Linked DNA regions of Daphnia pulex. The protein of the gene in region 1 purifies or fractionates together with the protein of each later gene. This does not show direct contact. Links are inferred from orthologs where the notes say so. Each region holds a gene or a part of one and is shown on either strand. Other genes may lie near its edges.

The links.
Region 2: the proteins of E3 ubiquitin-protein ligase RBBP6-like (region 1) and cleavage and polyadenylation specificity factor subunit 6-like purify together in Homo sapiens (affinity purification with mass spectrometry; 3 studies listed by BioGRID and IntAct, with this or other methods). This does not show direct contact. The link is inferred for Daphnia pulex from reciprocal best matches to the Homo sapiens genes RBBP6 and CPSF6.

Annotation. Positions count from the first base shown.
Region 1 is NC_060018.1:4,209,612-4,214,082, reverse strand, and holds the start of E3 ubiquitin-protein ligase RBBP6-like, read left to right. Parts: upstream 1-1,439; 5' UTR 1,440-1,556; exon of another isoform or gene 1,557-1,630; intron 1,631-1,699; 5' UTR 1,700-1,720; coding exon 1,721-1,886; intron 1,887-1,944; coding exon 1,945-2,035; intron 2,036-2,182; coding exon 2,183-2,246; intron 2,247-3,030; coding exon 3,031-3,126; intron 3,127-3,206; coding exon 3,207-3,295; intron 3,296-3,359; coding exon 3,360-3,468; intron 3,469-3,536; coding exon 3,537-3,658; intron 3,659-3,723; coding exon 3,724-3,893; intron 3,894-3,957; coding exon 3,958-4,205; intron 4,206-4,270; coding exon 4,271-4,471. Other genes in the region: uncharacterized protein LOC124188324, read right to left, coding at 6-268, 345-531, 590-1,139. UniProt on the Homo sapiens protein: E3 ubiquitin-protein ligase which promotes ubiquitination of YBX1, leading to its degradation by the proteasome.
Region 2 is NC_060024.1:13,144,771-13,149,317, reverse strand, and holds the start of cleavage and polyadenylation specificity factor subunit 6-like, read right to left. Parts: upstream 3,062-4,547; 5' UTR 2,984-3,061; coding exon 2,924-2,983; intron 2,725-2,923; coding exon 2,488-2,724; exon of another isoform or gene 1,847-2,487; coding exon of another isoform or gene 1,679-1,846; intron 1,529-1,678; coding exon 1,301-1,528; intron 1,045-1,300; coding exon 399-1,044; intron 325-398; coding exon 172-324; intron 105-171; coding exon 1-104. UniProt on the Homo sapiens protein: Component of the cleavage factor Im (CFIm) complex that functions as an activator of the pre-mRNA 3'-end cleavage and polyadenylation processing required for the maturation of pre-mRNA into functional mRNAs.

The DNA.
Region 1 (4,471 bases):
CATACTTGGCTCGAGTACTCTTCGTCGAAGATATAATACTGCGATGGCAAAGGTGAAGGATCCAATAATAAAAATCAAACCTATTAATATAGCTACATCAACCATGTCGAACTGATGATCAATATCGATTTCAAGAATTCTGCTTTGATTGCAGCAGTTAACATTAGATGATGTGCTATTTGGTAAGCGTTGGCATTCAATATACAGTTCATACTTTCCTTTCTTCAATGTCGCTTGGGATAGTTTATAAGTAATCAAATCAGCGTATCTAACGGGAAAAAAATTATTTTTCGGTTGAAAAAATTTAACTAAGATATAAAGCGATTCCTCGTAATTCTACAAACCTTTCAGAATAAGTAGAATCTATTGACAGATCCACTTTAAAAGTATGGGAACATTTGTTTTGCCCTTTAAAACATAATTTTATCATGTAATTGTCTATACCAACTAGAGCTTGGAAAGTAATAACAAGCTGATTTTCAATAGAGGTGTGAGTATAGAAAAATATTATTCTGTTACTCATATCCCTACCTAAAAAAAATATGGATTTAATAATGACACACAGGCCAATAATTGATAAGCAGCTTACCATACAAATTCCTAAATTTGTATTGCAATTTTTCTCCATTCATTAGAAACTTGATGGTTGTGTATGAATCACTTGTCATGAGAGAACTTGCAGAATCTCTGACATAACAATCATAGTTCCCCATGACATCATCACACCCTGGTTTAACAATGTTTCTGATTAAAGTAAAACACTTGGCATTCTGAGGTTTGATAAAATCTTCAAGCATAAACCACATGGTCTTAAATAGTGGATCAGAAATGGTGATGTTCAATGCAAATCTCGGGAAACTTCCATTCCTATCATAAGCATCAAATGCATTTAAATGAAGACCAATGTTTCTTCCATATGGAGTGGTTGAATCATTCCATTGTAGTAATCCAGTTGTACAATTACTGTCAGCAATAACAGTGAAGCAGCCATCAGCAGAAGTAACTGATCCACTAATGTATGACCCATATTTTGAGCAAATATCCGACCTACTAGTCTGACGGACTAAACTTGGACAGAGGGTGAAGACACTTTTTGGCAGTGTAACTGCAACGAGAAACAAAATGCAATAAAACTGCATACTGGCAAATACTCCCGAAATAAGGCGCAAAAATAAGGTTGTAATTGAACACACACTATCGTTTTCGAATCAGGAATGTCACTGAAAGAATTCCGCAATTTCCAAATTTTTTGTTTTGATTCATGATTCTTGTTGCCATAGCCCCCAAACCACACCCTCACCAGCAACCGAATGACGTCGACAAATTTTCTTTGTGATTAATGAGAACAATTTTACGTTACATAAACAAACTTGGTAAACAAATTTTGTGACATATTCCATCTATCGGTCATTTTATTTGTTTTTGCCACTAACCGTTAGGTGGCGTTGGTGATTCCTCGCGAGATTAAAAAGAAACTACGATTGATGCCGAGTTGCCGATCCGACCTACTAATGAATACCCGGTTGTCGACGCTTACGTTTTTCTCCAGGAATATGGTGAGTAAATTTAGTTTACAATTTCAAGTTCATGCAGCAAATCCACGTTTAATCTCTGATGGCTGATTAGTTCTGTATGGTTTGCTGTCGTGATATGTGTATAGTTTATAATGTAATCGAGATTGGTTTATGTTTTTTCACAGTGAGCAAACTGTACCGGGAAAATGTCTATTCATTACAAGTTTAAATCGGCGATCGACTATGACACGATTACATTCGATGGCCTTCACATCTCAGTTTCTGACTTGAAAAAGGCAATTGTCCACCAGAAAAAACTGGGCAAGGCTACAGACTTTGACCTCATGATAACAAATGCGCAGACAAATGAAGGTAAGATGTAGCACACAAAACTTTATAGAATAACTCATTTGACATGTTGTTATTGTAGTTTACACAGATGAATCTGCATTGATTGCCAAAAATACTTCGTTAATTGTGGCACGAGTCCCTGTAGCTGGTGCCACCAACAAAAAATTCTGGTAAGATTTTGTTGTTCATTTTAACAAAACATTTTGCATGGCACTGAATTGGAGTGAGTTTGCCCAAGCATAACTTTCGTTTTTTGAAATGTAATGATTTTAGGAGTTTGTCGTTATGTTATTTAAACATTGTTTTACTCATTACAGGGATAGAGGCGAACCATCATTGATCGGAACAACATCGTCGTCGAATTCGTCGTCATCAAAGGGTGTATGTACCTGAAGTCTTCCTCCCTTCTCAGTGGATTAGTAACTCTTTTTAAAAAAGAACCCCAATTAAACCAATTTAAATTAAAGTCACTCACATTCAAAGCTAGTTTTTGCAAAGAATCATAAAATTGTCATGAGTAGTTTTGAAAGTCTTGGTAATTCAAACTTCACATTTCTTACAAAAAAGGACTTGGGACTGCTGACGCCGGCTACTGTGATATTCTCATAACATTTCAAGAAGTTTTTGTGTTGAATTTAAAGATTGATGAAAAATTGTTTTCTTAGAACTTTTAAATGTTGCAGCTTTTTGTTAGTGATAGGGTTTTCATGGCTGTGATAAATTTAATTCATTCGTTGGTGATATAATTTTTGTTTCAAAACGGATGTTAAAGCTTGTGTCACGCACGGAGTATTACCTTAAACCATCAATGTGCCCTGTCCACCTTTCCGCTATTTTTCCATCATGGGATTCGAACCCCTGCGGTGTATGTGATTCATGCACACTTTCTTTTTTCTCTATTGATTCGTTTGAAAGTCGAAAATCGGAAGTTCAGTGCTAATTTTTGCTCGACAAGTAATTAATTCACTAGCTGGAACTAGTTTTCAAATACATGAATGGTCCACTTTGCCGGAAGCCAAATGTCTGATGGTTGAGCGATACATCAATATTTGGCACGACACTTGATCTTCCTCCTTCTGCCCTCCTATTGTCGCATTTCAATTTGTCAATAGACAGTTTCGTTGAGAACATTCCTAGAAATATGAGTTATAATCGAAAATTTTAGGCTCCCCCCGGGACCAGAAATGAAAATGAAGTCACAGTTGCCATGGCGAACATCAATGCGGATTCAGCCGGTTCCGCGCTTGATAATCTTGCCCAGGTATTGATACCTTTGTCCCGCCAGTTCATTCTGTATGTAACCTCACGTCTGTTCTTTTTTTTTTTCAAATTTTTTCAAAGGCTACTGACCTGTTTCGAAGTGAGGCTTCCGAAGAGGACAAAATCAAGGCCATGATGACACAAAGTACTCAGGACTACGATCCATCTAAGTAAATATTTCAACCATCATCTTGCGTCGAAGTTATTATTTATATGTATATTATTCTTCATCAGATATATGAAAATTCGTGGTCAAGGTCAAGTAGGACCCGTTCCTGGTAACTATTGTTGTTTCAAATGCGGTATGCCTGGTCATTGGATCAAACAATGCCCCTTGAACTTGGTAAGACTCATTTCTCGAAGTCAAATTGTAACAGCATATTAACGAAATTTATTTGTTCACGATTTTAGACAATGGACATTAAGAAGAGTACCGGAATTCCAAGAAGTTTCATGGTACCTGTTGAAGGTCCAGAGGTTCCTGGAGCGATGATGACTCCATCGGGGCATTTTGCTGTCCCTGCAATTGACCAGTAAGTTTCTTTAGCTAATTTGAAGTTCAATAAGTGTAACACACTAAAAATGCTTTTCTTATTAGTGAGGCATATCGAGAGATCAAGAAAGAACGACCGCCTTTTCAGGCTGAATCGCCGACACCCGAGGTGGTAAAACCTGTCATTCCATCTGAATTACTGTGTTCTCTGTGCAAAGATCTATTGTCTGACGCAGTACTTATTCCCTGCTGTGGAGATTCCTTCTGTGATGACTGTAAGTTTTATTATTTTTATCACATTTTTATTCGGTTTTAACGGTTTTCTATGATTCCTCGAAGGCATACGAGCCCTACTTCTCGATTCAGAGGAGCAGGAATGTCCTCAGTGCCACACGAAAGCTGTTTCGCCTGACACACTGATACCAAATCGGTTTTTACGTACGGCTGTCACCAATTTTCGAAGCGAAACGGGATATACGAAAGCCGCTCCCGTTGTCGCCCCTGCTGCTGTTGTGGAACTTGTTGTTGTTCCTGAAGTCAAAGAAGATATTGAGGACGAGAAAGAAGAACCCGAACTGATTTTAGAGGTAAAATTGAAAGTTTATTTGTGATTGCGTTGATGGCATGATGTTATCATTCTTTATTTCAAAAGGATGAAGAATTCAAGGAAGAAATTGCAACTTCTCCGGTGGCCGAAGAAGAGTTTAATGAAGAACCGAGTGAACCACCTCCACCGGGCGGAGAAAGCCTCGAAGAAGTTAGAGTCCCTACGCCTACGGTCGATGAAAAGCCTCCTGCAACTCCGACTGCTAGTGCTGAGGGTACCCAGGCTGATGTGGTTAAACAGTCACCT
Region 2 (4,547 bases), on another chromosome or scaffold:
ATCCCTTTCACGGTCTCTGTCCCGGTCCCGTTCACTGGGCCTCTCGCGCTCCCGACTGCGTGAACGTCTTCTCCTCCTTTCGCGATCTCTCGACCGGGATCGTTCTACAATCAAAACAATTTCACGTTAAGAATGTTTTTTAAAAAAGAAGAAACTAGATGATGCGGGTACCTCTTCGTGATCCGTAGCTCTTGGCCTCAATGCCGTGCAACGTATCTTGCAAGGAAGACACCAGGATCTTGCAGCGCTCATCATGCGCCACTTTTGACTGTTTGATGAGCGAAATGGCCGTTACTAGCGTCTCGATTGCACTGGCGTAATCACCTGATTGGATGAAGAAGACAGATAAGTTACTACTGATTTTGGTTCAATGAGCAAAATGAAGCTTGAAGACATACCAGTTGAGGCATCCGCAACAGCTCGAGCAATGGCGGAAGAAGAAACTGTTCGGTTGCGGCCCATCACTTCCTCGAATTCGGCTTCACTGACGTTTGGCGGCTCATTGGTGTGCGGTGGCCGATTATCAGTGATGAATGGTGGTGGTGGGCCGATCGGTGGAGGGAATCCAGGCGGAGGTGCCGCAACGGGCGGAGGGAAGAATGCCGGATTGACGTGAGGAGCTGGCTGCTGGACTATGTTGGCCCATTCTGGCCGGCCGTTGCCAGGAGGCGGAATACGATGAGGATTCATATCCATTCCGGGCGGAGGCCCACGCATCCCCATGCCGGGTGGTGGACCTCGCGGTACGACCGTAGGTGACATGACCGGATGTGGAAGAAGGTGATGCGTCGGTGGCGGAACGGGAATGCCTCCGGGTGTCGGTGGACCACGAACTGAAGGTGGCGGAGGTAATGAGAGACTCGTTAAAGGTGGGGGTCCGGATGAAGAAGCTGACGGACCCATCATCATCCTAGGAGGAGGCCCATTCATTGGAGGAGGTCCGAGTAATCCGACTGTTAGCGACGGAACTCCGGATGGAGCAGAACCGGTACTCCGCGGAGGACTTGATTGTCTAGATGGGCGGCTCTTTGACTGCGCCTCAAACTGAATAAGAAAAATATTTTGACATTAAAAGAAATGCATAAAACATAAATGTTTAAAGATGTTCCAGTCAAGTCGTCCGTTAAGTGTTAAATTGTACGACACTTGTAGGTTTACAGACTTGATTGGTTTTAATGTTGCATTACACTTTCCCACCTTTGAACTGTATTCAATTTAGACAGTCAATGGTTCTACTGGTATGCACTTGGAAAAAATTCGTCTAGCAGCACTAAACGATTAAGAAATGTTTTGATCTTACCTGATTGAGCGCCTGTTTGGATGTGAAGGTGACGATGGGCGTCTGTCCGTGCAGATCCTTTTTGGGAAGTTTGTCCATGCATTGACGAGCGCTGATCTCGGAACCGACGGTGATGACGCAGAAGCCTTTCGACTGGCCGTTGGCTCGGTTTTCATGAAATCGCACCTCCACCAGGTCTTGGACGCCAATCGCGCTGATTGCATTCTCCACGTCGGCATCTGTGGTCCACTGTATTGTCCAACAACCACAAAATTGATGTTGTGTCGTTGTCGTTTGTTGTTGTTTTGGATTGGGTTTGTTTGTTTAAAAAACAAAAGAAAGAAAGATAATATAGAAAAACAAAGCATGAAAATCGTTTTCTGCCGATTACATCCATACCATAATTGTATTGGTCAAATAAAAGATATTTTGATCGGGCACCTTTACACAGCCGCGCAATTTGTAGTGAGTGTATGCCAGAGTGCAGTTTCTTTTTCTTGTCATCATCAAAGATGTTCCTGCACATGGGCGCCAGCGGTTGTTATAATACGTGGCTGAGATTGTCATATCAAGCGATATCCCACCCCAAACTAACAATTCATTCGACTCAAATATCGTTTGGCAGAGATGACGATTTCAGAGATCAAAGGAGAAAAAAAAACATGGGGCGATGGATGTGGCACATCAGTTACGCAAAACTGATTGACAAGAATTTTTTTTCTGGGGAGTTCTATGGAGGACCGCATCCTGAGAAACGTAATACAACACAACTCAAAAACCTTCAGTCAAAGGTTTTGATAGGGGCTAATGATAAGTTTTGATGGACTACTTATGATAGATCAATAGATGATAAAAAAAATTATTTAAAAAGTGCAGATACACAGCGTACAACATGCATGGTCGTTCATGTCCCTGAATTGGTATGCCTTCTCACATACACATACATACATCAACATTCATGATGCCCTTCTTTCAATTTTGAATGCCATCATACAGTTTTATCACACATCATAGCCCCTCCATCATAACAACATGGTGGCTAGGTTGATATCACAGACTTAACAATTTGATTAATGTCGATAAAATAAAAATAAACAATTGGGAACTATCTGGGAATGATTCGATATACAGCACAATTACTTTTTAGATAAATAAAACGACACTTTGAACAATTGGTTTTATAAATGGAAAGGTTTGAATAATCGTACCCACGTCAGATTGCCCACGTACAACTGGATCCTTTTGGATTGTGATGAGCTGTTGCTGCCATGAAGCTGAAGTGGAGTTCCGATCAATGAAGATGAACCATGTAGAGAGCTGGATGTGATATGAGAAGATAGCGTTGAGATCTTCTCCTTTCCATTTAGTTCCTGCTTGATGCTCGTTGAAGATGTCAAGACGTCATCATACAAGTCAACGCCATCGCCAATTTGTTCGTCACCATCCTGTAATCAGTTAAGAAAATAAGTTAAATGATGCTGTCTCATCTAATAACGGTAAACAGCAAAGACGCCACGCCAAACACTGCGGTGGGATAACAACAGAAAATGAACATAAATGTACATAAATAAGTTATTGATAAACGAACTACAGAATATTAACATCGCATTCTTCCGGTAACTATAAATAAGTACGTAAACTTACACCATGAAAATCATCACCAAGATCGTCGGCATACAAGTCAATATCAGGCACGTCAGCCATTTTATGAAGTTTAGTCTATGGCCAACGACCACAGTCTTGAACTTCTTCTCTGTTTCCACCAGTGCTGCCACTTCTGAAATAGCAAAGTCGTGCAGGGTTGCCTAAAAAGTCCCGAAAATCCGTTTTTTTTTTTTTTAAAAATCCTGCACTTTATCTTGCACGATTTTCTTCAAAATCCCGCAAAAATCTTGCAAAAAAAAAAAACCCGCATAAATCCGACACGATCCAACATAATTTCCTAGTTATCCTAGTATATTTGAAGTCTTTTCTTGTCAGACAGGTAAAACATTATTTTGATACTGTTGACCGACAGTTAAAAGCTACACGGAAGCTCGGTAGGATGCTTATTTTAGCCCTATTTCAGCACTTTAAGATTACTTAACACGTTACGCTTTTTGGTAAGAATTATAAACAAACTGAAAAGCAAAATTTCATGCTTCTTCGAAGTGTAACATGCTTACAAAAAAATAAGTATGTTTATAAAAATGAAATTAAGTATGTTTACAGAACAAGTACTTTTAGCAACACACTTATCATAGATTTAACGTACTTAAAGTTTTAAAAAGTATGTTGATGCTTCTTAAGTATGTTAAATAAAAAAGAACAAGTCCTTTAAGCAACACAATTATCATAAACTTAACGTATTTACTTTATTTATAAACGTACTACCCAATGTTTTCTCTGCTGCAACGAAAAAATGACAGAGTCCATTTCATTAACCATTAATCAAGCCCCTTTGTGGCACCTTCGAGATTTTATAAGTCTCCTTTCGTTTTTTTTCTTGATTAGGAAATTTAAAAATTAAGTTTTCGTATTGTTTTCTCTGTTTGTCATTCTATACCTCACTGTTGCACCTCTTGTGTCGAATAAAATCAGAGGAAAGGAAATAAATTTGGCAGGGCCAGTGTTTCGTGGTTGTTATTTTGTCCGTGGCCTTGGTTAGTTCTTCATTTAGATTGATGTTTTCTTAGTACTGTTGATATCACATTATTCTTAGTATAACCTTGTGTTTTTCTTTTTTTCTTGATGTTTTACAGTCAGATATTCAGTGTTGATTCAGATTCTTAGTTGGAAAGTTGTTGTTTCAAATTGGCTGCTGTTGAATATTTGTCTGTTAGTTGGTGCATCAGTTTTGTGAGAAGAATTTTTTTAAAGTGAGTTTTTTGTCAGATATGAATAGTGATTAGTGATATGAATTATTGTGATGAGTTTAGCTAATGTTGTGTGAATTATTATGTGTTACAATTTAATGAAGTGAAAGCAATGAAGATTGTTTTTTTTATCGAAGTGAAATGTTGAAATGTGATAAACATTAAATGAAAGCTGTGGTGAGTCAATCTATTTTTTTTCATTTATATGGAATGTTTTATGTAATGAATTGCAGAGATAGGAATGATATAAATGTTTGAATGATTGATGCTTGTTGTATTTTTTTTGCGGAAGATGGTGTTGGCAATTAATAATTTTTATTGACAAAATTTTTTTTGTAATCTTGCTCGAATGGTATGATTGAATCGATTTAATGGATTGTGAAGAAATATATTGAAATAAGAAATTTTTTGTT